Canis lupus familiaris: one gene and its partners. The protein of the gene in region 3 interacts with the protein of the main gene of each other region in a biochemical or structural test. Links are inferred from orthologs where the notes say so. Each region holds a gene or a part of one and is shown on either strand. Other genes may lie near its edges. The genes, in order: ACVR1, BMPR1B, BMP7, ACVR2A and BMPR1A.

The links.
Region 1: the proteins of BMP7 (region 3) and ACVR1 form a complex in vitro, tested with the Homo sapiens proteins (2 studies listed by BioGRID). The link is inferred for Canis lupus familiaris from reciprocal best matches to the Homo sapiens genes BMP7 and ACVR1.
Region 2: the proteins of BMP7 (region 3) and BMPR1B form a complex in vitro, tested with the Homo sapiens proteins (2 studies listed by BioGRID). The link is inferred for Canis lupus familiaris from reciprocal best matches to the Homo sapiens genes BMP7 and BMPR1B.
Region 4: the proteins of BMP7 (region 3) and ACVR2A are reported together in a solved structure, tested with the Homo sapiens proteins (2 studies listed by BioGRID, with this or other methods). The link is inferred for Canis lupus familiaris from reciprocal best matches to the Homo sapiens genes BMP7 and ACVR2A.
Region 5: the proteins of BMP7 (region 3) and BMPR1A form a complex in vitro, tested with the Homo sapiens proteins (2 studies listed by BioGRID). The link is inferred for Canis lupus familiaris from reciprocal best matches to the Homo sapiens genes BMP7 and BMPR1A.

The regions. Positions count from the first base shown.
Region 1 is NC_049257.1:4,088,255-4,094,141, reverse strand, and holds the start of ACVR1 (activin receptor type-1), read left to right. Parts: upstream 1-2,304; 5' UTR 2,305-2,384; intron 2,385-5,887. UniProt on the Homo sapiens protein: Bone morphogenetic protein (BMP) type I receptor that is involved in a wide variety of biological processes, including bone, heart, cartilage, nervous, and reproductive system development and regulation.
Region 2 is NC_049253.1:21,980,798-21,986,675, forward strand, and holds the start of BMPR1B (bone morphogenetic protein receptor type-1B), read right to left. Parts: upstream 3,568-5,878; 5' UTR 3,501-3,567; coding exon 3,358-3,500; intron 1-3,357. UniProt on the Homo sapiens protein: On ligand binding, forms a receptor complex consisting of two type II and two type I transmembrane serine/threonine kinases.
Region 3 is NC_049245.1:43,039,060-43,045,182, forward strand, and holds the start of BMP7 (bone morphogenetic protein 7 precursor), read right to left. Parts: upstream 3,674-6,123; coding exon 3,256-3,673; intron 1-3,255. UniProt on the Homo sapiens protein: Growth factor of the TGF-beta superfamily that plays important role in various biological processes, including embryogenesis, hematopoiesis, neurogenesis and skeletal morphogenesis.
Region 4 is NC_049240.1:51,342,951-51,348,365, forward strand, and holds part of ACVR2A (activin receptor type-2A), read left to right. Parts: intron 1-2,593; coding exon 2,594-2,703; intron 2,704-2,904; coding exon 2,905-3,059; intron 3,060-5,415. UniProt on the Homo sapiens protein: On ligand binding, forms a receptor complex consisting of two type II and two type I transmembrane serine/threonine kinases.
Region 5 is NC_049225.1:35,395,483-35,401,463, forward strand, and holds the start of BMPR1A (bone morphogenetic protein receptor type-1A), read left to right. Parts: upstream 1-2,345; 5' UTR 2,346-2,419; intron 2,420-5,981. UniProt on the Homo sapiens protein: On ligand binding, forms a receptor complex consisting of two type II and two type I transmembrane serine/threonine kinases.

The DNA of each region.
Region 1 (5,887 bases), on a different chromosome or scaffold from region 3:
AGGGCACATCTCACAGCAATTATCCAGCCAAAGATGCCAACAGTACCAAGGTTGAATGACCCTGGATCAAGGTGTCCAAGCCAAAGGACTGTATCTGGGCTGTATCCTTGTTTGGACAGGGCTTGTGTGACAGGCTGTATCCATGTGTATCCTCCTGCTTTACACATACATGCATGCATGTGCAATCATCAATTTATATTACAAGGCCACAAGAACTACCTAGAATCCTCCCAGATAGTCTCCTGGAATGCAAGGTAGTCCCAGGGAGGTTGGGTTAGGGGGTTTTGTGTTGACAAAGTCACACAAGGCCACTACTGAAGGTACGGATACAACAGTTAAAAGCATAACAGGATTCATTGGTTCATTTATCCACTTACTCAGCAAACGTCTATTGGGCACCCACGTGTTCCAGTCTGCTGGGCATGATGATACACGTGAACACAGCCAACCTGGTCCCTGCCCTCAGGGAGCTTACGGCCTAGGGAGGACTGGGAAGGTTACCAAGAAGAGGCTGGTAAAATGAGGACTCTGTAAATGTACGGGACTGAGGAACATTCACACAGCACCTTGACGGGCTTTCAAGTAAGGGTCATCTCGTTTGAACCCCACGACGAACCTGGAGACAGGCTTTATTCCCTCCCCAGAGGTTAGAGACATGCCCAAGGTCATACAGTTTCTAAGTGGCGGAGCTTCAGCCAAGTGACACGGAGATCCCCGTTGTACTGTTTTACAGAGCAGGGGTACACGTAGGCATTTTTGCTTGATTGACCTGGAGTTTCCTCTCCCGATTCTCGGCAAGCAAGCGTGCAGGTACGGAGTCCCCTTGCGAAAAAACGCCCCCCCCCCCCCCCCCCCCCCGACTTCTCCAACCTATTGCTTATGTAACACCTGGGGGTTATTTCCTAGCTGTCTCACGTATATGTGCCTTACGTTCCTAATTGGATTGTAAACTCCTGACCTGCAGGGACCAGATCTTCCATTTCCTTTGCAACCTTTTGCAGCACTGCAGTCACCCAATAAATGCCTGCTGCATGAATGAACCTGTAGAGATAAAAATACTTTATGGTATCCCCATTTATTGGTTTCAGGCTCTTACTCTGCTTTGTGATAGGACTGTACATTATAAGCTTCTAGAGGGCAGAGGAAATGGCTTGGTGCTTTCCTTGCACTCAGCAGGCACCATGCAAAATTTGATCCCCGCATGCCTTTTTGATGCTCTGGATAATATTAGCACACTGGAGTGTTTTCGCGTATCCAAGGACCGAGGTTGTCAGCCTCCGTGCGGCGGGGAATGTTCCTTCCTTTCCGCAGTAAGCTGCCCTGGCGCCTAGGACGGGGCCAGATCGCCGCAGAAGCCCCCTCCCCCGTCCCCCGCTCATTTTTATCGCTAAGGAGGCCGACTGCGAGGATGGCAAGCTCTTGCATAACCCCGGACCTCGCGGGGAAGTGAGCAACGTGGAAGGGGATTCGGAGGCGCACGCCGAGCCCCGCCGCCCGCGCCCCCCGCGCCCCGGGAGCCGTCCCGCCGCCCCCCCGCGCCTACCTGCGCGCCCGCCCGCCCGCCTCTCCGCCCGGCCCCGCTCCGGCCTGGCCGCCGCCGCCCCGCCTCCCAGGACCCCGCGCCCGGCGCTCGCGGCGTCCTCGGCCCGGCGGGGGCGGCGGGGGCGGCGGGGGCGGCGGGGCCGGCGGGGCGGGGGCGGGGGCGGCGGGGCGGGCTCGGCGGGCTCGCCCCCGGCCGGGCGCCTGCAGGGGGCGCGGGCCCGGCCCCGCCCCGCCGCCTCCCTCTCCCTCCCGGCTCCTGGATCCGCGCCGGGAGGAAATGATGTGTTGCTGCCTGGTTAATCACAGCTCCAGACACCCATTGGCCGAGCGCTCCGCAGCCACTTCCTCCTCCTCCTCCTCCCGCCGCTCCCGCTCCTCCCGCTCCGGCTCCTGCTCTTCGCAGCCGCCGCCGCCGCCGCCGCCGCCGCCGCCGCCGCCGCCGCAGCCTCCCCTCCGCGCCCGGGAACTTTCCTACTCCGGGGCCGCCTCCCCGCCTCCCCGCCGCCCGCCGCCTCCCCGGCCGCGCCCCGCCCGCGCCCCCGCGCCTCGGGAAGTTTATCCCGCCGCCCCCTCCCCTTCCTCCTCCTCCTCCTCCTCCTCCTCCCCCGCCTCCCCTCCCTCCCTCCCTCCCCGGCTCTTCCCCGGTGGCCGCCGCCGCCGCCGCCGGGCTGCCCCCAGCCCCAGCCAGCGCGCCGGCCCGAGGGCAGGAGCGCCCCGGCCCCGCCGCCGCCGCCGCCGCCGCCGCCGAGTTCCGGGCTCGCCCGCCCGCCCGCGCCGCCCCGCAGCGCCCGGAGGGCTCGCTCCCCGCCTCCCGGCTCAGCCCGGCCGCGGCGGGACCAGAGGTGAGGGCGGGCGGCGGGCGGGCGGGGCGGGGGCGGCGGGGCCGGGCCGGGGCGGCGGGCGGCGGGCGGCGGGCGGCGGGCGGGCGGCGGGGGCCTCGCGGGCGCCCCCGGTGCCTCCTCCCCGCAGCCTCCCCGCCGGCGGGGCCAGCGCCTTGGAGCCCGGCCGTCCTGCCCGGGGCCGCTCCGTCGGGGCCGCGTCTCCGCTCCCGGCCGCGTCGGCCCCGCCGCCGAACGCCGGGCGCTTCCAGGAGGAATTTTCTGCGGAGACGCAGCCAGTAAACTCCGCTGAACTCCCGCCCGCCCCCCGGGCTTCCGAGCTGCAGTTTCAAAAAGCTTCAAAGCCAGGAATGTGGGATTCGTCTCCCGATCCCCAGAAGGCGAATGTGGTTACAGATGTTGCACGAGACTTTGCCAAGTTTAAAGCCCTTCGCTCACCGCCGTAACCCGGCAGCGAGGCTGGAGGCCGGGCGGGGGCGCCGCGCAGGGGCCGGGGCCGGGGCCGCCCCGCTCGCCCCGGGCTCTAGGCCGCCGTCGGTCTGTCCGGCCCGCGCCAGACGTGGCTCCCCTCCCCCCGCGCCCGCAGCTCCCTTTCCCCGGAGTTTTGAACGCTCCCTGCCTGGGGGAGAAGCTGCAGAGGAAGCTACCGAGGGAGGAAAACACACTGCGGGAGGAAAGTCATGGTTAAAAAGTTGTGCTTAATTTGGCTTTTGGAAGGTGGTAGCAGAGTAATCAGTGGATTTGTTCGTTTTGTTGGGCTTTCTTTTGTGTGTGTGTGTCTGTTTCAGAGAGATGGAGAGAGAGGAGACTAGGAGTGATGGCAAGTAGGGGATGGGAAAGAGGACTGGCCTCATGCACAGTTTGTATTGTTTTTGAGAAGAGGCCGTCTAATTGAGACTTAGATATAACCCAGTGGTTTTAAAGAATCCTGTCCCAGAGATGCAGACTGCTCTGACAGCCCAAGGGAAGGCGGTGGCAAAAAATAGACACCACCTCCCTTTTCCCCCAAAAAAATTCTTCCTGGAAAGGTGGTGTTAAGAAATTTCAGAGATGGGCTGATCCAAGTGGCAGGCCTTAAATGGAAACACTATAGTATGTCTTGGCACTTGTCTCTGGAGGTGGGTGGCTGGCTGGGGGCCCGGGCTTGGGCAGCCAGCAGACACTAGACTTGTGCTGACCTCAGACACTGGCCTCGCCATCCAGCTTTACAGTATGCTTTGGTATTGAAATAGGGGCCTCCCCTGTTTAGCTGGTGGGGACAGAGGGGTCAAGAGGTTGTCCTAGGCCTGGACGGGACTTGGATCACCTGGCTCCTAAGACCTAATCACTTTGTTTTGTGATGCAGTCGTTTCTGTTTTCTGGCCTGGAACTAAACACACAAAACAAAAACCAAAAAGGAAGTCTTTTGAAGCTGCAATGTGTGGGTCTTAAATCGACGGAATTGTGTGGTGGGTTAATAGCATTTCTGCTTCACCCCACATGCACGCAAACACTCAGAAGGTGGTGAATGATGTTGCAGTAAATTCTGGATAAATGGCAAAACTCAAGAGCTGGGAGGGGGGCTAGAATGGGTTCATACCCTCCTTTTCTGGAGTTCGGGTGAATTTTTCTTGAAATGGAGAGAGCGGGTTATAAGTAAAACTCGATTTAGGTAGTGGTGTTACAACTTTTGTACCGTGGAAGAGAGTGATCATTTGAATCCGAGTGAATTTCTTGTTATCTCTGAGTAATTTAAAAGAATATTAAGGATGCTGCTTTGAGATGGAGGAGTTTGCCTTCTTCAGGAATGTAATTAATTTCAGAAGTGGGGACCTTAATGCCATTAATAGCATTGTAATGATTTTTTTCACAGTAGTGATTTACCAAATTTTCTGCCTCTGTCCACCAAACAGCTAACAGTGATTGAAGCAGTGGAGACTATGACTTACCTTAGATTGCACTGAACCAATACTGTGAGAATCATGATAGACTTCTAGGTAGGGTTGTTGGATCAAGTAGTCCAGCCTTATGGGGGAGGAAGGGACAGGGCAGGGATGCGCTTGAAAAATGATCCTGTTATTCAAGGTCATGAGGTGAAGATTGAATCAATGTGTGTGTGTGTGTGTGTGTGTGTGTGCGCGCGTGCGTGTGCGCAAAAAGTACTTTAGACAAAGAGGAGCTGGGACTGGGAACAGTCCTCTATGCTTGTTCTGCTATTGGATCTCTGCATCTTGATTTATCTTTATGTGAAGGGGTCTAATGTACAACTTGTTAGACACTGGGGAGAAGTACACTGTTAATGGTAGCAAAAACCCTTTGATATGTTTGAATGAATTTGGTGACAGATATGTTGGGGAGCACCGGATATGTGCTAGGCACAGTGCTCAGCTCTTCACATGCATTTTTCATTACATTTTCACAGCAACCACATGTTTTATTATTATTTCACTCTTATGATGAGGAATTGAGGCTTCCTGAAATTGAGTAGTTGCCCTAGTTGTATGTAGAGCTAGTCCTCAGTGGAGTCAGGATTTGAACCAGGAGTTTGTGGGACTCTGGAACGCGTGTCCTCAGCCCCTTTTGGCCAGTGTTTGACAAATTTCATTCACTCATACACTGTCTTCAGGAGTTTGTTATGGCTAAGTTTCAGTCTATTAATTATTTAGTGTTTTTCTTTAAAGTGGTGATTGCCCTTAGAAAAACTTAAAAGATGTCATCTTTTAAGAAGAACCAATATATCATTGCCTTATTTGGAAAGCCAACTCCCTTGTTAGTAATAGGATGTAATCATAAAGATGCATTTGTACTCATAATAAAACCCCAGATTCAGGACAATGATTAAATGATTACCGTGTGTGTGTGTGTGTGTGTGTGTGTGTGTGTGTGTATTTTGCAGGGACCTGGGGAGGTTCAGGGAGGAAGAAGTAGGTAGATGATAGAGCATTGATGACCTTCTGGGGTTTTGGGTTGGGTGGTGGGTTCAAGGGTGCTGATTTTATTTTTAGACTTTCTAACCTACATACATGATACATATTTTTTGGTAAAAAGATAAAGAAAATTAAACACATGACTATTAACATAATGACTACTTGGGGAATATTTCCCTGCACTATGATGACTGTAGACAGCTCGGTGCCTGTGCGAAGTAGGCACGCAAATGCTGTTGGCTGATTGATAAGACCCCAGGTGATAATTTTAAAGCAAGTTGATTGTTGTCATACCTGAAGGAGATTGAGGTATGTCCCCCTTTTCTGTATTCTCCTGCTTCCACTCTCGTTTCAATACTGTGACCAACATCAGAGCGTGGGCTGCAGTGGTTTCTCCTGACTGTGGTTAGGGGAGGCTAGGGCTGAGCGGAAGCTGGCACTTGTCAGCCTCACCTCGTCGCATACATCTAGTACTCAGGATGGGTCAGAAAACGCTGTCATGAAGTGTTACAGTGCTTTCATTTTTATCCAGTGGGCACGTGTGACCATTCAGGCTGGGAAGCTGGGATTTAAGTTAAAGCAAAGCCTGGGTAAGATGTT
Region 2 (5,878 bases), on a different chromosome or scaffold from region 3:
GTGTGTGTATGTGTTTCACCAGAGACAGCATGACAGGTACTGATTTTTGGAAGTCAAAAAGTAGATCATGAGCTTATAGTAATGGAGGACTGAATTTATTCTAGGTCTTAGGCCCAGGAACAAAGTAGCCCCTGTGATTCACGCAACTGACCTCAGCTCCTAGGAGACTCAACTGGAGTTAACATCTTGTTAGCAAAAAAGATGTTCATTTTACTCAAGAGTGAATATTCGCTCCTTTGAGAGCCATTTCAAGGGTTGGCTGATGGTCAAGAATTAAGGACTTTGGAATAAATATTTCTTAACTACAGTTATCAAGGTCAATAAATCTGACTGCTGTGTTTTGGTTCTTACCCTACTTGACCTCTAACAGCTTCTAACACAGCTGACCTTACTTCCTCCCTCTGTAAACTTGGTTTCAATGATACCATACTCACTGTTCTATGTTCATTCTGGATCTTCTGGGAAGAGCCTCCTTGACCCAAGCATTAAATGTCTCAAGGCTCAGTCCTACCCTGGTCTATTGGATTATTTTATTACTATACTCAATTTTTCATGCACCACTCTAGCCATGGCTTCTCTCTGAAGTTGAGCTTGACTTGGTACCAAATCACTTGATTTGGAAAATGGAATGTTAGGGGACATCCCACAAATACAAGTTTTAAGATGCTGCTCCCTCACAGTCAAGTGAGAAGCTCTGGATAGCTTCTACTCTAAGAAGGGTTGACAAACATGTGGAACAGGCCTAAACTCAAGGAAACAGTCCAATGCCAAGCCCACCCAATCCAGCAGGGCCCAGAACAGCTGCAGCCCATTTGCAGGCCTAGGAATGAAAATATGAATGTCTTTAGCTGTAAGTCACTGTGATTTTGACACCATTTATTTCACAGCAAAAACTGACTCATCTTCTGCTCACTCTAGACTCTTCCCCCAAACTCATCTCAGCTGCAAATCCATATCCCACGGCCTACTCTTTGGTATCTCCATTTGTGGGGGGTCAAAAACCTTAAACTTGGGCAGCCGGGGTGGCTCAGCGGTTTAGTGCCGCCTTCAGCCCAGGGTGTGATCCTGGAGATCCTGGATCCAGTCCCATGTCCAGCTCCCTGCATGGAGTCTACTTCTCCCTCTGCCTGTGTCTCTGCCTCTCTGTCTCTGTGTCTCTCATGAATAAATAAATAAAATCTTAAAAAAAAAAAAAACAAAACCTTAAACTCAGTATGTCCAGATTGGAACTTAATTACTTCTCTCTGTCTTCTTTCATTAAAAGCCTACACTGTACATCTAAATGTACATCAAGCAATTTGTGAAGCCAGTTCATCAAAATAAAACTTTCCTTCTAAATAATTCCCCAACACATTCACTTCCCTCTTGCACCAGCACCACCCTAGTCCAAGATCATGTTCCCTTACATGAACTGTCTTTCCTAAATCCACATTAATACCACTGCTACTCCTGCTTAAACAAATCTCCGTCACTGGCCTCCCAATGCTTCCAGAAATAAGACGAACATTCTTAATAAAGCCGGCCAGGCCATGTATAATCTTTCCTAGCTCCAGGCTCAACTATAGCCACACCTCCACCTGCTCCCTGCACTTTAGGAAAACCAGTCTTCTTTGAATATGCCAAACTTCTCCTTCCCACGCAAAGAATCTGTCCTGCAGTTAACCCTGTCTGAACACTTTCTTCCAAATCAACTTAGGACACTCCAATGTCCTATAAGGAAAATAGGACAGAATATTTAAAGTTGGGATAATTTTGCAAAGTTTTCACATGTGATCACCAGAACTATAGCTCCAATGACACACACAGATTTATTCTTAATTACTACAGACTCAGGCAAAATAGTAAAATATCCACCTAATATGTTTCTTCCTGATAATTTTATATTTTTCAGAAAACTTTGACATTTTCCTGATACTTTTACCATTTACTACAAACAGGTGGTATTTCCCAGTAAATACCATCTGAGCTCTGGAATCATTTTACCATGGCACAAGACTCCGTGATCCCAACTTTGTTCTCCATATAAGAGCCAAGTTACTGGACTTCCCTGGGCCCTAAATTCCTTATGTCTAATGATAAGAAATAAGCATGCCCTACCATGCTCAGTTGTTTTGCTGATTAAAGGAGATATGTAGGGATCCCTGGGTGGTGCAGCGGTTTGGCGCAGGCCTTTGGCCCAGGGCACGATCCTGGAGACCTGGGATCGAATCCCACGTCGGGCTCCCGGTGCATGGAGCCTGCTTCTCCCTCTGCCTATGTCTCTGCCTCTCTCTCTCTCTCTGTGACTATCATAAATAAATAAAAATTAAAAAAAATTTTTTAAAAAATCCTTTGATGTTTTAAAAAAAAAAGGAGATATGTATTTATGAATATACCTAACATTCCCCCCTATCGTTCAGTTAATATATATTTCTTGAGCTACATATCACAGGATATGCCTTCTTTCTCAGGAAGAAGAAAAAAAAAAAAGCATTCAGCTCAGCTTTATGCTCCTTCCTGGGTAAATAGGCCCTAAATTATTGCTCAGATATTCTGCATGGACTTCAAACCTAGCAGCCCATGTTCCCATTTGGGCCTATTTCTTGAAAGACATACTGCTTTTCTGACATCTTAACTCTTGAGATCTGCACTTGTCTGGTTACTCTGCTATGTCTCCCTGGGCACACTGGCCTTATTAGGCTATGCCTCTTTAGCCACTGTTTCATGAGGAGTGTAAATATAGGCTAGAGTGCCTAGCAAAATGGATGTAGCTGCATTAAGATGCATTAGAAAGAAAGAGGTAAATAGTCCAGTTCCAAATAAAGTTTTGATACAAATATGATTATTCACTAAGGAGTTTATTCTCTAGTACTCTGACAATGTCTCTCCTACCATCTGGTGGGCTCACATAAGCTCTATCACTACACTGCTTCCCAGAGTCAATGAATATTCCTAACAACTCAGGTGTTCTTTCTAAAATATTGACCACCAATGACAGGATGAATGGTTAAAACTAATAAAAATCCTCACACATTTGACACCCTCTGCTGTTGAATTTATTTTGGGGATAGGGTCTTTTAGGAAAAAAAAAATAGTTTTGTCCTTGACACTTGTCCCAAGCTCGGAACCTGTGTTCTATGTTGATGTGCATATGTGATATATTTGCAGAAAGGAAGAAGAATCTCAGAATGCCATTTCAGGCCAAAATGCAATTTAATATTTTTCTAAGCACAGGTACAGCTCTGAGAGTTAAGGAGTTAGGCACTATTCCTCAAAATGTGTTCTTGGGTAACATCAGCCTACAATTTCGTAGTCAAAAAAGTATGACTTTTTGTTAAACCTAGGTTAAAACCTTTTGTTAAAACATTTATGACCAACCTGCAAATGTTGTTGACTGAGTCTTCTGGACAATGGTGGTGGCATTTGCAACGCAAGATCTTTGGACGAGGGGTGGGGACTGTACTCTCACCATCCTCTTTCTTGGTGCCCACATTTAATTTTCCTGAACTTCGCAAAAGCATGTTATCAAGTAAGTTTGCTGAAAAGAAGAAAGAGTAAGAGTTTAAGGATCTGTGGGAGAGTCCAACCAAAGTCTTCTATCCAAAGAATGAGGAGATTAAACAAAATATTAAGTATTTATGATACTTAAAGATTTAAACATAAAACAGATATTTTAATGATTTTGATATTAGAAATTATACTTATATAATTATTATAATCATATAATATATGTCTCACATAAAATAGAGAAATTCTCATAACCATTTCAGGGTAACAACCTATACATTAAATTATAATAGTTGTATTTGACTCAGTGCAATGAGTTCAATGAGCACTAGTACATAGATCATCTCTACTCTGTATGGTAATGGTATGAGTAAATATCATTCCTATTTGCAGATGAGAAAATTAAGACTCAAAGTTTAAGTGATCTAATAAATCATGAAGCCTAGCATTTAAATCCAGATTGTTTGGGTCCTAGGGCTTTCTTCCTACCAGTCTCTTTACTTAAAAAACTTTCGTTTTAATGGGTCTCAAAATTCTGTGACAGATTTTTGGTCAAGTTGTTTCCATTAAAAAGTACTGATTTCAAAAACTAGTAACTTAAAACTGCCACACATGCACACACACACACACACACAAAAAAAAAAGGTCCACAAAACATTCTCCTTTCCTTCTGCAGGTTTTACGATGCATTGTTATCATTAACCAGTCTTTTACTATTAAACTTAAATGGCCAATTGACACAACAGTTCTGAGACCATTCTTCCATTACTGATTAAGACTGGGGATGGCAGGTATTGGGGATAATATTCATTTAGCCTTCTGAGCTTTCTGGGCAGACTTGGTGACTTTGCCAGCTCCAGCTGCCTTCTTGTCCACTGCTTTGATGACGCCCACAGCAACCGTCTGTCTCCTGTCACGAACAGCAAAACGTCCCAGAGGAGGATAGTCAGAGAAGCTCGCAACACACATAGGTTTGCCAGGAACCATATCAACAATGGCAGCATCCCCAGATTTCAAGAACTTGGGACCATCTTCCAGCTTTTTTCCAGAATGACGATCTATCTTCTCCTTCAGCTCAGCAAACTTGCAAGCAATGTGAGCTGTGTGACAATCCAGCACAGGTGCATATCCAGCACTGACCTGGCCTGGATGGTTCAGGATAATCACCTGAGCCGTGAAGCCAGCTGCTTCCATTAGTGTGTCATTTTTGCTGTCACCAGCCATATTGCCACGACGAACATCTTTGACAGATACTTCTAGACACTGAAGCCCACATTGTCTCCAGGAAGAGCCTCACTCATGTGCATTTCAACAGACTTCAGTTGTAACATTGACCGGAGCAGAGGTGACCACCATGCCAGGCTTAAGAACATCAGTCTCCACTCGACCCACTGGGACAGTACCAATACCACCAATTTTGTAGACGTCCTGGAAAGACAGACACAAGGGCTTATCAGTTGGACAAGTTGGTGGCAGACTGCGATCCAGAGCTTCAAGCAGTGTGGTTCCACAGGCATTCCCATCTTTACGGGTGACTTTCCATCCCTTGAACCAAGGCACGTTAGCTCTTGGCCCCAGCACGTTGTCACCATTCTAACCAGAAATTGGCACAAATGCTACTGTGTCGGGGTTGTAGCCAATTTTCTTAATGTAGGTGCTGACTTCCTTAACGATTTCCTCGTATCTCTTCTGGCTGTAGGGTGGTTCAGTGGAATCCATTTTGTTAACACCAACAATTAGTTGTTTTATACCCAGTGCATAAGCCAGAAGGGCATGCTCATGGGTCTGCCCATTCTTGGAGATACCCGCTTCAAATTTACCAACACCAGCAGCAACAATCAGGACAGCACAGTCAGCCTGAGATGTGCCTGTAATCATGTTTTTGAAAAAGTCTCTGTGTCCTGGGGCATGTAATACTTGCTGGTCTCAAATTTCCACAGGGAGATATCAATGGTGATACCACGTTCACGTTCAGCTTTCAGTTCATCCAAGACCCAGGCATACTTGAAGGAGCCTTTTCCCATCTTAGCAGCCTCCTTCTCAAATTTTTCGATAGTTCTTTTGTAGACCCCACCACATTTGTAGGTCAGATGGCCAGTAGTGGTAGACTTGCCCATATCTATGTGTCCAATGACGACGATGTTGATGTGAGTCTTTTCCTTTCCCATTTTGGTTTAGGTTAAGTGGTAGTTTTCACACCTGTGTTCTGGTGGCAAACCAGAACACTTGCAAAGAAGCTGTATCATGTATTTTTAAATAAATTATTAGAAATACTTAACATGCAAAACTTAATAGGAAGATGAAAACTTAGTTATCACTAAGATATATCAAATGATACATATTCCTCATCAGCTTTTACATGCAAAGTGCCTTCCTATTATAGTAGTGATAG
Region 3 (6,123 bases):
ACCCCTAATGCCAGCCGGCTTCTTTTTGAAGATTCCAAAAGGAGCTGCTGGATTTCTCCAGGGGCGGGGGGAATGGTTAGGGGGCTCTAGCTGATTCGGTCTGCAGAACTCACGTTGCCTGGGGACAATTTCAGAGAGGGTAGCCTGTTTTGAATTCCAAAATTAAGGCTACACAGAGGAGTCGGGGGCTTGTTAATCCAAACCAGTTTACAAATCTCGCCATTGAACTGAAGAGGCCCGGGCTGAGAAGAGGTGGGTCTCCCTCCGTGGCTCGGCGAGCATTACACGGGGCTTCATCGGACGGGCCACTCTTTGTCACAAGGTGGGGTCTGAAGTCCTCATTCTCAGCACCTGGTTTTGTCGTACATTCTCCTCTAGCTCCCTCTCTAGTTTAGATCCCGCTCCGCCTGGCAAAAAGCTTGAATTCCAAGGAGGAGGACTTATAGGAACAAAAACCAGTTTGGCTGCAGACAGAAGGAAGAATAAAGGCACCAGGTCTGCAAAAGCCTTCAGAATCTGGTCCGAGGTCCCCCAGGCACGGCAGGACAGCAGCGCTATGTGGCGGAGGAAGGAGGGGGCAGTAGAGAAAGTCAGCCTCTCCCTCAGCAGCCCCCCGAAGTCGCCCCAGGCCTCCACCCCCTCCACGTGTTACCCAAGTAAGGGTCTGATATGAACAAATGACATTTTCTTATTATTGGATAAAGTGTGAGACTTAATGCACCTTTAGAAAACTTTGCATGTTACAGATCAATTATGATTTGCAGTCCAAGGAAAAACAGTTGTGCTTCCTTAGCAAACTTAGCTTCCAGATTGGTCTCCTACGCACTCCCCTCCACCGCCACTACCACCCCCAAGCCCCTGCCATACAGAAATCCCCAAGCCCCAGACAGAATGGAAGAGACAGGAGCTTTACTCGTCCCATGCTGCTGCTGAGCAGAAATAAAGGCCACCCTTAAAGTGCCTACAGGAGGAGTCTTGCCAGACTGCAGGCCAGGTCTTCACCCAACCAATTACCTCGAGTTTTAGGGACAGCTAGGGAAAGAAAACAAGACCAGTGCACACTCTGTTAAAAGCCACTGCGCCATCTAATTTGGAGTGATGTTCCAGAAAGCACGACCTGAGAAAGTCAGGACTGTCCCACAAAGCCCAAAGCCAGCCCGACTGATTAAGAGGCTCAGACAAGCCGGTCTTTGTCCTTTCAAGATGAAAGAAATGGGGCTAACGGGTTGAAAGGTGTGTGTGTACAGCCAGAGGAGGAGAACCACCCAGCTATGGCCTTCCCAAACAAGTATCGGCTTGCTCCCACCACCGAGGGGGAGCAAACAGCTCTGCCCCAAGGTTCCCAGAGGCACCCAGTCAGCAGCCTCCTCCTCCTCTGGGGTGGGGGGAACCCCGGCCACACTGCTGGTCCACAGAAGCAGCAAGGTGATTTTTGGCACTGGGTTTGCAGAAGCCAGGGCTTACAAATGCCTTTTTAATGACCCCAGCCTGGCCCTGAAGGCCACCACTGGGACCTGCGGCATTCACTGAGACTCGTGGGTGGGTACCCAACAGGACAGAGGATACCACAAATCCCTCGCCAGAGAAAGGGCCTAGCCCCAGCTAACCACCAGCTTCTGGACACTACAGAGTGTGTCCTGCTTTAATTTACATATTAATTCATATATATTTATATATGTGTGTAAGTCTTTAGTTTCTGGTATAGGTCACACATACACGTTGCAAAAAAAAAAAAAAAAAAAAAAGAATCACACGGACAAAAGTGCAGACAATGAAAAATCAGAAATCAGACCCCAGCTCCCACTGCCCTGCCCCGCCCCCCAGTAAAACCTACTTCCAGTTGGCGGTGTCTTCTTCCAGGGGGGAACAGATGATATACAAGCGCCTACGTAACCTCACTGATCTGCACCTTGCTCTTTTCCACCTCATACATCTTGGAGATTGTTCTAAATCGGGACATATGGAGCTGCCTCCTTCTAACTGGCCGCTTAGTATAATTTAAACTTTCTTGAAGTTATTTTGGCATCTGAACCTCCCACCCCTTTCTCGCTGAAACTCGTTGCACTGTTTGATTTTCGGCTATTAGGAAGGGCAGACGAAGGCGACCTTCTCCGCAGCTGGGAGCATCAGGGTGGGTCCCCGGCGCCCCGCGCCCCCACCCGCGCGCCCCGCGCCCCGCGCCCCCAGCGAGGGGCTCCAGAATCACCGCCGGGGTGACGCGGCGTCCGTGGGCGTGACTCTGCGGTCTCGATCCCGTTCGGATTTTCGCCGCAAGTAGAATGAAATCGGCTCAGGAAACAACGCTATCGGGGCGTGTTATCTCGGAAACCAAATATTTGATCGCCAGCCCTGCAGCGCGCCGCCGGGGGTTAGTTTGAGCAAGCCTGGCGGACGTGCGTGCACGGAGGGAGGAGGAGCCCCCGCGCCCCCGCCTCGGCCCCCCCAGCCCCGGCCCCCGCGGCTCGGGTCGTCGGCGAGGTCCCCCGGCCGCCCCCCGCGGCGGCTGCTCCGAGCTCCGCGCCACTCCATCGCCAAAAGCCGTGGTCTGCGCGCCACACGTGATAAACGCTGAAAATGGATTGTGCCCGCCCGGGACCTATCATTAAATATTTAAAATAGAAAGCTCGCCATGGCACCGTTTCTTCCCCAGCCCCCGCCAGGAGAGCTGAGAGCCAGGGGGCGCCGGGCCGCACGCAGGGCCCCCCCCCCCAGGCGCAGGCGGCGCGCGGCACGCTCGGGCGGGCGCACCGCGAGGGCGCAGGTAGGGCGGGCCGGGGCGGCGAGGGGGCGCGGCGTCGGGGTGCCAGGTCCAGGCGGGGCCCAGGGGGGCCCCGAAAGGGCGGGAAGGCGGCTGCGCCCCGCAGGGCCCTTTAAATCCAGGTAGCCGGGGCGCGCGGGCCGGCACAGCTCACATGACCCAGCCCCGCGCTTTGAACTGAGCCGCGGCCGGCCCGGCGCCTCCAGCCCCGGAGGTGCGGCCGCCGACCTGACCCGGAGGGGGCTTCGGAGCAGCCCTCTCGTCCGCCGAGCCCCCCCCCCACCCCCAAGGCCGGACGAGCCCGGGCCGCCCTACCTGGGGGGCGCGCACAGCTGGGAGTCCGCCGGGGCTGGGGGTCGGAGCCCCCGGGGCGGGCGCTGCGCTTCTGCAAAGGGCCGCGAGCGTCAAGATGCAAGCAGCGGCCCCCTCCCCGTCCCAAAGCGCCCCTGGACCGAGACGCTGCCCCCACCCCCACCCCGCCTCCTGCCCTCACTCACCGAGGTTGACGAAGCTCATGACCATGTCGGCGTCGGTGAGGAAGTGGCTGTCTTGCAGGCTGGCCAGAGGGGGGCCCTGGGTGCTGAAGACGGCCTTGTAGGGGTAGGAGAAGCCCTGGCCGTCGGGCCCGCCGCCCTCCTCCACCGCCATGGCATTGTACAGGTCCAGCATGAACATGGGCGCCGAGTTGTGCTTGCCCTGGAGGTGCGGGCGCGGGCGGTGGGGCAAGCCCAGGATAGAGAGGATCTCGCGCTGCATCTCCCGCCGCTCCTGGCTGCGGAGGCGCCGGTGGATGAAGCTCGAGTGCACCTCGTTGTCCAGGCTGAAGTCGGCCAGGGCGGAGCGCAGCAGGAGCAGGGGCGCCCAGAGCGCCACGAAGCTGCGGGGCGCCGCGGCGCAGGGCGAGCGCACGTGCATCGCGCCGGCTCTACGCGCCACCCGGGCTCCGGGCCCCCGGCTCCGGGCCCCGCGCCGCCCCAGGTGGCGGAGGGGGGCAGGCGGCCGTCCGCGCCGCTCGGTCACTTGCTGCAGACGGGCCCCGCTGCGCCCGCGCCAGACATGGCCCCTCCCCGGCCGGCTGCGCTCTGCCCGGACCCCCGCCCCCCGCTCGGCGCTGGCCCCGGGGCCCCTCGCCCCGCACTCGCCCGGGCGCACCGCGGGGCTTGGAAACCGGCTGGAGGGAGCGAGCGGGCGGGCGGGCGGGCGAGGAGGCGGGCGCGGGTGGGAGGAGCAGCCAGCAGACCCGGGAGCCGCGGAGCGAGCGCCGGGGAGGCGGCGGGCGGCGGCGGGCGGCGGGCGGGCGAGCGCTCCTTCCTCCCGCTCCGCTCGCGCTCTGCCCTCGGGCGGCGGCGACCCGCGCTCTTCCGAACTCCGGCGCCGGGAGCAGGGGCCCCGGGCCGCTCCCCCAGCCGCGCGCGCCCTGGATCGCACGAGAGGCCGCCTCGGGAGCCCCAGACTGGTGCGCGCCCGGGCCTGGGAGGAGGAGGCGGAGGACGGGCTTCCAGGGGCCCCTCCCGCGCCCGCGGCCTCCCACCTGCCCTCGGCCCCGCCCTCCCCCCAGCTGCGCCCAATGGGTTCATTCATTCCTTCTACTGCGCTTTACAAATATTTACCGAGTGCCCACGGGGTGCCCGGCGCCCGGCCGAGCGCCGCGGGGATGCGGACGGGGGAATCCGAGCCGGCCCTGGCCTCTCCGGGCTCGAGGTCGGGACAGGGAGGGAGGAGGCCAGAGCGACCCGTGGGATTCGTTTTGGGGCTGAGGTAGAAGAAGATGAGGGAGGGAGGGAGGGAGGGACGGAGGGAGGGGCGCAGCGCAGCAATCGGGAAGGCTTCCCGGAGGAGGAGACCCCGAGCCCCTCTCGTCCCTCTGCTCCACCAACTCGCCGTTTGCTCCAGCCACGCGGACCCCGCCGCGCCTCCCAGCACGAACCGCTAGGCTGTCTTTGCACTTGCCATTCCCTCTGCCTGGAATCCCCTTCCCTTTAATCCCTCCCACCCCCATCTGCGCCTAGCTCCGGTGGCCTCCACCTCCCCGTGCCACTTGGGTGCCACTTCCTCCCAGGTCGGGAGAGAGAAGGTGGCCTCCCCTCCTGACCCCTGTGCACATTTGTCTTCTTTTCTCTGACTTCCCTCACGGTCTGCAATTGCTGTTGGGGTTACTCGCGCCTCCCTTACCGTATTGTGTCCTCCAACGGAAACAGAGGTGCCGCTTGGGGAAGGGGGGGAACAGGCTGGCGCTTTCTCGGTCTCCTCTGTACCCACAGCGCCTTGAACCCAGGTCCCCGTAGCTGCCTGCAGCTGCGCAGTGTTTGAGGAACGACTGTGTGGACTGCAGAATTTCTCCCCACCTCCTCCCCTGGGGGCCCCGGCTTATTTCCAAGCACTCTTCAGCTTGACTCTACATACCGGATCCCGACCCCACCCCTGGGCCCTGCCCTGCCGGCAGTGTCTGGGGAGCAGGTGGTCACCTTGCATCCCAGTCCTCCTCTGAGGGCCTGTGCCCGAGGTCCATCCCGCCAGCATCCTGAGCTGCCTAGAGCCCAGCACATCCGGCCATGGACACAGGCACCCCGACAGCCTGGAGCATGCCTTGAGACCTCCTGTGAGTTACTGCTCTTCAGGAACCCCATTCCTTCACTGCAAAAATGGGAGCAAAACAATGCAAGTGAGGCCACAAGTGAAAGTGCATCCTCGCCTCCTTCCCCTCCTGGGGCTGCCCCCACCAGGCAAATCCACAGCTCGGGGTTCCCAGATGATGGGCTAGTTGGAGGGTTGCCACGGGCAGCTTGGGATGAAAGGTGGATGGCTGAGGTGGGGAGACGAGGGTTGGCGGGAGCAGTCAGGCCAAGCCTCACTGGGGAACAGGAGAAAGCTCCAGGATTGGCAGAGAGAAACCTGACCTTCTAGAGTTTTCTGGAGCAGAGCTGGTTCTGCCCTGTAGCCCTCTGGGGGCTTTGGACAAGATGGCAGTCTGAGGGGTCACGGAGGTGGATAGGTGAGGCCAGAAGGTGGGCAAGGAGGTGAGGGATGCAAGGTTTGCAGGTCATGCCCATTCATATCACAGGCTCCCACCCGTTATTGAGGCCCCAGCTCTGAGATGCAGCAGGTCCTGAGCGCCCTGACCCTGGGCTGGGCCTCTGCCCACCTGTCAGTCGAGGCACTCTGGGAAGCCCCGTCCACCTGCCCTTTATCCATTAACTCCTTCCTTCCGCAACAATCAGTGAAGTACTTCCTGGGTGGCAAGCAGGGTGGGCTTCATGGGCGTGACACCCGTGTGGATGCCCAGGCTGCCACGCTCAGAAGGGCCTCATGCTTGGCTTATGTTCTGCTGCGTCCCTATTCTTCCTAGCCTGTGCCATTCTTACTAG
Region 4 (5,415 bases), on a different chromosome or scaffold from region 3:
AGAGAAACAGACATTTTGGAGCCAGAAAATACTGATACACTCATGGAACCCTAGATAGTTGGCCTATCCACTTTCAAGAGGCTCAATTGATAATCATGAACAGGTGGTTGATTAGCCACATGTGATTTTTTAAAAAGATTTTATTTATTTATTTGAGAGAGATTGCAGAAAGAGACAGAGTGTGCATGAGCGAGCATAGGAGTGGTTGGGAGTTGCAGAGGGAGAGGGAGAAGCAGACTCAGAGCAGGAAGCCTGACGTGGGGCTTGATCCCAGGACCCAGGACCAATCACCACCTGAGCCCAAGGCAGATGCTTAACTGACTGAGCCACCCAGGCACTCCAGCCATATGTCATTAATAGCAAAATTGTTGAATAAGCCCATGAAGATGGAATTATCTCAATTTTTCATGAGAAATTAAAATCTTACACATACACACACACACACACACACACACACGGTATTGTAGTATTTAGGATATACTTCTAAATCTGTGGATTTTCCAGGGCTTATTTCTCTGTAATTACACATTTTAGCTGCATTTCTGATTCTTGGCCTCTCATTAATAGAGGTGATATTTGCTTTTATGAAAAGTAACTAGGGCCACTAGGAAAATAGGATGGAGGTTCCTCAAAAAATAAAACTACCCTATGATCCAGCAATTCCACTTTTGGGTATTTATCTGGAGGAAATGAAAATATTAACTTGTAAAAAGATACATACACCCATATGGTTATTGCAACATTATTTATAATAGTCAAGATTGGAAGCACCTGAGTGTACATTGATGGATAAAGAAAATGTGGTGTGTACACACACACAAACACATACACACATAGAGGATGTTATGCTAAGTGAAATTAATTAATTGTATAGAGAAAGGTGCAAATACAATATGATCTCACCTAATGTGTAGTGTATATTGTATGTTTAAAAGTTGATAAGACAGTAGATTTTTGTTCTGTCTTTTTTTGTTTGTTTTGTTTTTTTTTTTTAGAGAGAGGAGGTTGGGGAGGGGCAGTGAGAGAGACAGGAGTTCGATTTCATGACCCTGAGATTTCAGCTGAAATTCGGAGTCATATGCCTAACTGAGCCACCCATGTGGTTTGATGAGAGAGTAGATCTTGAAAGTTCTCACCACAAGAAAAAGAATTTTTAACTATGTGTGATGTTGGACATTATATTATTGTGGTGATCATTTCACTATATGTACAAATATGAAAGCCATTTATGTTGTATACTGGAAACTAATGTAGTGCTATGTCAGTTTTATCTCCAGAAAAGTGGGGAAAATATTTTTTCCAAATTATCTTTTATTAATTAGTTGAAACCAGAGATCCTTGTTCTTTTTGTAGTAAAAACTACTGTTCGTCTCACCTGATAGTTAAGAGAAGGAAAAAGAAAAGATTCAAGAAATATCAAAGTATGGAGAAAAGACAATGATACAAAGAATGAAATTGGATAGGGAAAAGTACTTTTTTGAGTTAATTTGGCTAAGTAATCATTTTCCCCTCCTATAATTTGAGGCATGATTCTAAATGTTAAGATTTTAAACATATATTTTTTATAACTTAAGATTTAGCTTTCAGTTGTCTTTTATTTTCTATTAAATAGAATTGGTGTAGATTTAATTTTAATGTTTGATTTTGTTAAAACAGCCTTCTCCCTGAAATTTCTTAAGCTTTCCATTTTAAATTCAACCTTATTATTCTAACAGCCATCACAAAAGTTTGCAGTTTGTAGGATATGTCTTTAAATTTACCTGATGTTTATTAGCATATTTAAAGGTTTGTTGTTGTTGTTGTTATCTGTTTGTTTTCAAACAGGTATGGCTATTTATTGGCTGATTAGGGTTTGTTCTAGTGGCTGAATCCCTATCTCCTCAGCTCCCCAGTCAACCTCATATCAGTTTTTGAGTTATTAGGTTCTATATCTTGTTACATTTTGTTTTCTACTTGTTGGTTATCTTACCCTTGCTCATTGTGTTTAGGGAATTTAAATCTACTCCAAAAAATGATACTGTTAATTCCCAAACCTAGCTTGGGTCTGTGATGTTGAGATAGGTCCTGCCATGAAAGGAACTTAGGTCCTTGTGTGTGTGTGTGTATATTTATATATAAACATATACGTATATATGGGTATCGGTGTGTACACATACACATAGTTTTATTTATAGTGTTCAGCTTTTTAATTCATGCAATGGGAAAGCTATATGTCCTGTAAGAGAAAGCACTTGTAAGCCAAATTTCTTCGTTGGCTCTATGTTCCTTTTTACACTTTTCTAATAATTAAAGAAACATAGTTGCCTTAGATTGATGATTTAAAACCAGATTAAGGTCATAGCAGTGGCCTCAAGAAGCTAGTGTCATTGCTGTAAAAGCAGCTGGTTTTTGTTTTTAAGTGAGATTTAGTAGAAGGATTACTGGAATGTTTTTTGGCTTTTAAGAATTGATCATTGGATATTAATAAAAATCTTTTAAGTTGACCATGAATGACTTTTCCATTATTTTATCTCTGAGAAGAATTTTAGAAAAATACCCATTGTGGATTCAGTTTAATGCTGATTTTAATGATTTCTCCTCTGTTTGTTTATAGGACTGATTGTATAGAAAAAAAAGACAGCCCTGAAGTGTATTTTTGTTGCTGTGAGGGCAATATGTGTAACGAAAGGTTTTCTTATTTTCCGGAGATGGAAGTCACACAGCGTAAGTTCACAGGGAAAATACATAGATCTGTTCAACTAGTACACTGAAAGCAAAACATATTTTGTGTTGATGGAATAATTTACTCCTACCTTCTCCTACTCTTGTTTTTCTCCTAAAATTTGATGCTATAAATCAATAAATACTTATTGTGGAATTTTGTAGACCAAAGCTGAATTGTTTTTTTCCTTCCATTTTCCACAGCTACTTCGAACCCAGTTACACCTAAGCCACCCTATTACAACATATTGCTTTATTCCTTGGTGCCACTTATGTTGATTGCGGGGATTGTTATTTGTGCATTTTGGGTGTATAGGCATCATAAGATGGCCTACCCTCCTGTACTTGTTCCAACTCAAGTAAGTTGTCTTGTACCTTGTGCTGTTTTAAGTTGTATATTTTACAGAACTATTACTGTGGTGAAACCCACTGGGTTGCTATAAGTCATTTTCTTTTGGTGTTACTTTTTGAATGCTTATTGTTATGGCAACTATAGCTAATTTTCCAAACTTAGTAATTTGCTGTGTCCTAAACTTTTCTCACTTTGGAGCTGAGGTAAGGTAGAACAAAGGGTATTCTGTTCTTTGGACAGTTTCACTGTCATTGTAATACTTTCAAGTGTGAGATTTACCCAGCTTTGTTTCTTGAGAAGTAATTGATGGATAAGTGATATCATAACCTGTCCTTTCTCTTCTTTCTTCCATTCCTTAATTCTTTTGCCTTTTTCAAGACTACTTGCCAAAATATCCTTTTAACCATAGGGAGAGTTTTAGTAAGGTGATCCAGAAAGTGTGGAAAAGGAGGTTTCACAAAGGCATCAGGAAGCTATATACGAAAAAATGTTTCTGGGAAGAGGAGCAGATGAGCAATGCTTTTCATCATTTATTAGTAATAGTTCAAGTGTTTTTTGTTGTTATTGTTTTTGCAGCATATCAAGTGTGTACTGAAAACTAAAAAGCTTTTTTTTTAATACTAAAAATTTTTTCAATGCCCTCGATGCTCCCTCTCCTGACCCCAAATCTACCTTAAACTATAGATATGGTGGGTAATCAGATTAAATTCATGAAATTTTCCTCTTTCTCTATCACATAGACAGTTGGTACTGGTACAATGGTTTACAAGTTCTTTTAATATAAGTAGCTAATATTCTGCAAACTCAGGAAGGGTGAAAACTGTAGTTATACTTGTTTGCGACATCTTCAAACTCTAGTTTTAACTGTGTTTCTTTCAACTCTTAAGATCAGATTACCTTGGCCTTTTGGATCTGTGGTTTAACTGTTACTCTAATACTAGGATTAATGGTTAAAACGTGGTAGAAGAATGGTAAAGTCCTATAATTTAATGACCAAAACAACTTCTTCTCTGTAAGCTTTATTTACATAACATACTACTTTCTCAGTACTTGGCAGCAATCTGTTAGCATTAGGTTATTGATCCACATAATCTTTGTAAGATGTATACATGGAGAAATAAACCCAAAGGTAAAATACCTTATTCAGTAAATTAGGTAAACACTGTTTTGTGCAGCTGAAATATTTTAACTTTTAAACCTTAGTTACCAACTTGTGGATTTATTAAAAATTATCTCTGAAAGTATTTTAAAATAAAAATTTTCGCTGCCTAATAAACAGATGTAGCTTACTCCAGATGGCCATAGGATCCACTTTATCTGCCTTTGGTGGTAACTATTTTTTGATTTCTATTTTTAGAAGAAAGAGTATTTAGTACTTAGTGTCTGAATTTACCCTAGATTTGTGATATAATAGAAGAAAACTAGAAACTGAATTGAAAAATAAATTTAAGTTTTTTAATGGAACTTTAAAAATAAAAATGTATTCTTATAGATAACATTGATATTTATATAATATTGGCACAAAGTTACGGTTGGACTTTTTAAAAAGGGCTCAGTATCCTATACATGAGGCCACTTTACTTAGAAATGCTAATTAATTTAAGGGGTTAGACTTTTAAAATGGAAAGATGCAGTTATTGTTCGTAAGTAACCGAGAACCAGGAGTCTCCAATGAATATCCATTTCTGGATTTTAGATTATTTGTTACCAGGTTAGTATTATTGTACACATTTATTTAGCACTTGGATTGCTCTGTGGTGACTTTGCATACACTACATGAATTACTGAAAACTGAGAACTAGATTTAAGATTTTGTGATGGAATGATCTGGAATGGTCAAGCTTTTGTTAGGCAAAATAAACTGTGGAAGAGGGATTGTCATCAGTTTGGAAATTTCATTTATGTCATCTCTCACTGTGTCTCAGAAGTATAGTGTCATGCCTTAAGTATCATTTTTAGTGAGAGGTTCTACAACACTGATTAGTGGCCATTTTGTTAAAAATGCTCAAGTTTTATCTCCAGTTTCAAAATAATTATTGATAATAATTATTGAAAACAACAGCAAGGATTTATTGAACTCTTACAGTGTACTAGGGTACTGCTAAGTTACACATATGTATAAATACTTAAGTTTTATATAAGAATATGTAAAAACATAAAATACATATTTTTTTCTCATGATTTCTAAATTGTGACTGATAGATAAGGCTCATCTTTGGAGTTTGTTAAAAAATACAAACTCCAGGGCCACAGCCCTGTAAGTATGGAGTGGGGCCTAAGATGATATGTTTCTAATAAGTTTCCAAGGTGATTGTGAACAGCCAGGTGTGAAAAGCACTCATTTGATTTTATCTCACAGGGTT
Region 5 (5,981 bases), on a different chromosome or scaffold from region 3:
ACTTTGCATATTTGTTTACAAAGTTTATGAACTTTGAGGAAATTCTAATGTTTGCTGAATTATAAAATGTTAGAAAGAAAATATCTAGAAATGTTTAATTTTTCATTTATTCTGTCGTTAAGAAGACCTGATATGTTTTTAAAAGGATTACCTTTTTCTTAATGTGTTTTCTAGAACTAAGAGGCTTGAAAGTTTCAGACACAAAATCTTTGACGAAAACATTATTATACTTGTTTAGTGTTCAGTTTTGACTAGATCTTTCTAGTTGTTAAACACAAGTTCTTAGTGCTAAAAGCCTGTGTTCAGTTACCTTGTAAGTCAAAAGATTAAAGCTGTTGGGGGCATTTTGCCCACGTAAAATCCTTTTTATATACATGCACATATTTACGCATCTCTTCTTTTAGGACTGTAGCACTGTATTGCAAAGGTTAAGGAAAGCTTTACTTTATTTGCACAATTTCTAGTTTTAAAAAAGTGATGTGCAGACCTGTATGGTGAAGCATATCCTGTCCTTTGATTTTTTTTTATTTATGTCTTAGTATGAGGTCATGTTTACTTGGTTTTCCTTAGCTGGTCTTAAATTCAATTTTTAGACGATTTATACTTTGTCATTTATTTGTGCATGTGAGAGGATGGAGGGAGGATAGACAATTCAGGGTCTCAGACTTTGAAGATGGCATACTTGAAGATTCTTTTGATTATTCATATTTCTTTTTATTAACTTTAGATTTAGCCTGAAGCTTTTTTTTTTTTTTTCACACCAAGGAAACAGTTTTGTAATAAGCAGTGCCATGATAAGCAATGGTTAAATGTTTTATATGTTAATTTTATTTGATCCATTGGAAATATCTGGTAGAATTAGAATCAGGCCATATATTTTTAAACATAGTCATTTTGATGGATTGTTATAACCCTTATGAGAATGGGTTAATCTCTAGCTTTGTGAAATACAGTGATTGCCTTCCCTCTTTTCTTCCACCTACGCCATTAGGGAAGAATGGAGTTGTTGGCAAAGAGTGGCTTTGGAGGTAGATATTTGTCATTTCTAAAATGAAAACATAATGCATTTATTTTTTGATTATGTAAGGGAAATTTTTTAAGACTGTGAACCTCTCAGGAAAAAAAAAAATCCCTAAACACTGTATCTCTTCCATTCCTGCCCTCGTTTCTCTGAGTGATGGTCTAAGAGTTTTATTGTCCTGTGAATACCCTGAAAAATATTAGAGACCAGTTAAGTTGTGGGTAACCGGTGCATTGAGAAGACTGTTTAAGGCTCCTAAATGCAGACAAAGCATTACTAATTGCTTTCAGGGTCAGTCTGTCTTTAGTTGGACCATGAAAGATTTAGCATGGTCCTATGGCAGCCCGTCTGCTGAGTGGAGACTCTTGTCTTTAAGAAAGGCTGCTATCTGATATGCTAGACCGTTTCAGGTTGCCCCAGTTTACATGAATTCAGTCATTATTGCCAAGACTACTAAACCTCAGTGTGACACAAACGATACCTCTAAATGGACTTGAAGACAAAGGCATTTTGACCTTGCCGTGGGACATAGGTAGTGTTCATACAGCTTAAAATTTTTCCTTTTAAAATATGAAACAATACTTTGCTATTTGAAGTTTCATTTAAAAGATATGTTCATAGAAATTATTTTTAAGATCTCTAAGTAAGCAACATGCCTTTTTAAATAAATCAGAATTTTTCATTGTTTCCCGCTTTTAGATTTATCAACTTTGTGTCTTAATGCAGCAGGGAACTAAATGTCAGTGGAAACATAGTTGTAACCTATCCCCTGGGCTTAGACCAAGCAGTGCCATTGATTCCTGACCCCTCCAGTTCTTTAATATTCTAGGTAGAAGATTGACTGAAATTAGAACTACCTACTGAGATTTTGTGATAGAAAGTGAAAAATAGGGGTATTAGCTGGGTGGCCAAATATATTTTTGCCTAAGTAGAAATTTCAATACTGTAGAATTGTGGATTTTAGTGCTGCTTCTAACTGTTCCTGTTTTTTCGTTTTAAGATGTGATTTTTTTTTTCCTTCAGAAATCTAAGCTAATACAGAAATTTTGCATGCAAGAAGTTTCTTCCACAGAACTATTGTTACCTTTGTGAAGTTGAAAATATACAAAATAGGAAACATCTTTGGGCAGAGGTTGGGAAAATGATAAAGTGATAGGTTAAAATACTTTAGAATTTCATTGACTTTATGTTGAAAATATATAATTTTACACATGACGAATTTTTAGTATTGCTTTTGTGTGTTTCTTTTGGTCTAAGTAAGCTCTCTCTCTTTTTTTTAACAGATTTATGAAAATATGCATCAGTTTAATACTGTCTTGGAATTCATGAGATGGAAGCATAGGTCAAAGCTGTTTGGAGAAAATTGGAAGTACAGTTTTATCTAGCCACATCTCTGAGGTAAGGAAAAGACTTTTAAGAAAATAATTAGAATAATATGAACATTTTCATATCAACTATTTGAAAATAGTCGTGGAAGGTGGGTGGGGGAATGAGCTAAATTGAATTGGGTGATGGGCATTAAGGAGAGTGCATGTTGGGATGAGCACGCGGTGTTGTGTGTAGTGATGAATCACTAAATTCTCCTGAAACCAATACTATACTATATATTAACTAACTTGGAAGGAAAGAAGGAAGGAATTGAAAATAGTCCATGTGTATGTATTACTGCTGCAACTTTATTTTAGTCTTTTTAGTTTCTTTAAACACCTCTTTATGAGTTCATAAGTAGTTCTAATACATTTTCCCCTTCTTATTCATGTTTAAAGTCTTCAAAAATAAAAGGTACTCATTTATTACTGATATCACTTTCTTCACTCTAATTATAGAAAATAAGCATTAGATGATATATAAGGATGTATTTATCCCCCCTAAAGACAACCAGAGTTCAGAATGGAAGATTATGGATGTTTATATTATTTTGAATCTTTCACACATTATAGAATTCAGAATAAAAATGTTGTCTTAAAATAATAGGTTTTTGGAGATAGAATTTGTTTTAAAAGTAGGAACTGTCGTAACACCAAGGGTAGGAGAAAAGAAGCCGTTCTAAGAAAGGGGATGTCAAGTGCATTAATTTTGATCCATTTACAGACTCAGATTATCAGGTAAAAGGTTTGAATTCTTTAGGATCTATATTTTAGAAAAATAAATAGGACATATACTATGAAGTAGTCTGTACTCTTTCCTCGTAGGGTAGTTGGCTTTGCAGCAGTTGGCTGCTGCTTCTGTAGCGTGCTCATTCTTTTTTCTCACTCTGCCTTTGCTCTTTGTGTCTTTGCTCTTTTGAAAAACACTTACAACTTTTTAATTGCCTTTTATTAGGTTTCATACTCTTTGATCACTGTAGTAGTTGCTATTTTCCCTTTTTTGCAGTTCTCTTGGTTTCTATGACCCTGTGTTCTTCTCCTTCTTTTTTTTTTTTTTTTTTTAAGATTTATTTATTTATTCAGTCAGAGCGAGAGAGAGGCAGAGACACAGGCAGAGGGAGAAGCAGGCTCCATGCAGGAAGCCCGATGTGGGACTCGATCCCGGGTCTCCAGGATCACACCCTGGGCTGCAGGCGGCGCTAAACCGCTGCGCCACCAGGGCTGCCCGGCCCTGTGTTCTTCTAGCTCTACTTCTTTAATCACTCCTTCATAATTTTTCTTCTCCTCCTACTCTTAAGTAATGACCTCCACGAGGTTTTATCTTTGAAATTTTTCTGTTTCTTCTTTATGTTTTTCCTGATCTCATTTCAACAGTTACCTCTATAGTGATCTCTCAACCTTACATTTCACTTGTGTCCCTCTCTCTAAGCTTTCGGCCTGTATGGCCAACCGCTCGCGTCGCACCGGGGTTCCCATGTCTGTTAGCGGACATCTCTGTTACCCACACGCAAAGTCTCGGTGCCGGATGTGGTTCCTCACCTTTTCCTTCCCGCTCTAGTCAGAGATGCAGTCCCACCCGGTGGCCTCTGAATGTGCCGTGAATGTTTCCGTCCTTTCTCTTCCAGTCCCCCCATCCCCATCCAATGCTAGGCCCTTCCATTACATTTCACCTGAAATATCGCAGGGCCCTCGCGGTTGGGCGCTTCACTGCTGTGAGAGGAGGGAACAGTCCGGGAGGCTGCACATAGGACGTGATAGTTGAGTAGAGTCTCGAAAGATGAGAAAGATTGCCCAGTGGAATTTGGGAGGCGAGAGAATTTCACGCGCAGAGCTCAGCGTAAGCAAGGGAAGCCTGAGGTATATCGATTGTACAACAGACAGAAGAAATCATTTTGTGTGGTTTGAATTCAGGATATGAGAGCGGCTTTGAGGGACAAGGCGAGGAGAGACCTTGATGGTGAAGGACTCAGTGCTGTGGTCGGGAGTTTAGGCTTTATTTTGTGAATAGTTGGCAGCCACCGAAAAATTTTAACAGAGGCATTTTAGAATCATAATTTGTTTTGCTAAAATTAATCCTGCAGGGATATGGATGATAGTTTGGAAGGAGGAGGGGGACACCAAAAGCAGGCGACAATTCGGATGCTCTTAATTGTTAATTGTTTCAAGCAAGAAATGATGAGGCTCTTGATTTAGGTAGGGATCAACTTACCTGAAATTATGAAAACCTGTAAGCATTGGTTGTTAGCAAACATTCAGTTTTCTTCCTCTGTACCCCTCCGTGTATGTGTGGTACTCTTCAGCCAGTGATTTGAAGCTGCCTGTATTTCTTTGCTCTCTGCTCCTATTATTCTTTTCTCCTGACATGCTTTTTCCACTTTTTCTTGTGGTAGCCCTGTCAACTTTTAAGAACTCCTCTCGGGCAGCCTGGGTGGCTCAGCAGTTTAGTGTCTGCCTTCGGCCCAGAGCGTGATCCTGGAGACCCGGGATCGAGTCCCACGTCGGGCTCCCTGCCTGGAGCCTGCTTCTACCTTTGCCTGTGTCTCTGCCTCTCTCTGTGTCTCTCACAAATAAATAAATAAAATCTTAAAAAAAAAAAATCTCAAGTGCCAATTCACCCCTGAGGTCCTTTGTGATCTATATTTCTTTTTTTGGATGTGTGTGTGCGCGTGCACATGCACAACTGCTGGCAGTGGAGGGAATGTGTAAGGACAGAGAGAGAGGGAGAGAAAATCTCCAGCATGCTCCCTGCCCTGTGCAGAGCCTGATGCAGGGCTTGATATCATGACCCTGACATCATGACCTGAGCTGAAATCAGGAGTCAGGTGCTTAACTGGCTGAGCCACCCAGGCGCCCTTGATTTCTTTGACTCTAAGGATATATTCCTTCCTAATTTAAGACTCGAGAGCGCTTATTTTTGTTCTGTAGGATATTATTTATTTTGGTCTCTGTTAAACTGTGTAGCAGCAAGTCACAATGGAAGTATCAGAAAATAAAGAACATGGTCCCCATCTTCTATTTACAGTCATACCAGTAAGGTCTGTATATAAGTAATATGAGTAATGATCACTAACACTGCCAGGTAAAAATAATAAATGCCAGAAGAGTAATTCATTACTTCCTAATCAGAGTTCTGTAGAACTGCTAAGTACAGACAGAGCATGGGAGGGATTGTTTGACTTGGGATTTGAAAGATGAGTTAGGATTTGAATAGGTAAAGAATTAAAAGGTATTTCTAGAAAAGCTGGCTGATGGAAAACGAGTATTTCTCTATAAATATGGTAGAGGTCTTAGGCTAGGAAGTGTAACATCAAGAAAATCTTCCTTTAGGAAAATCACTCTAGCAGTGATGTGTGAATATATGTCATTAGAGAAATGGAGTGAGGGCTCAGGAGGCTCAGAAGGTTTTAGGAGGTGTGAGGTATGAGGTAATCAGAATTTAATCCAGGTAGTAGGGGTGGAAATGGAAAAGGAAGACCATGTGGAATAGATGTCAGGGGAGAAGAAGCAGTGATTTCTGATTTCTGACTGGTTGTTGGAAAGAGGTGCTGATGCCCACGCCTTCTATCTGGATAAAACAGATCATGTTGGGCAGT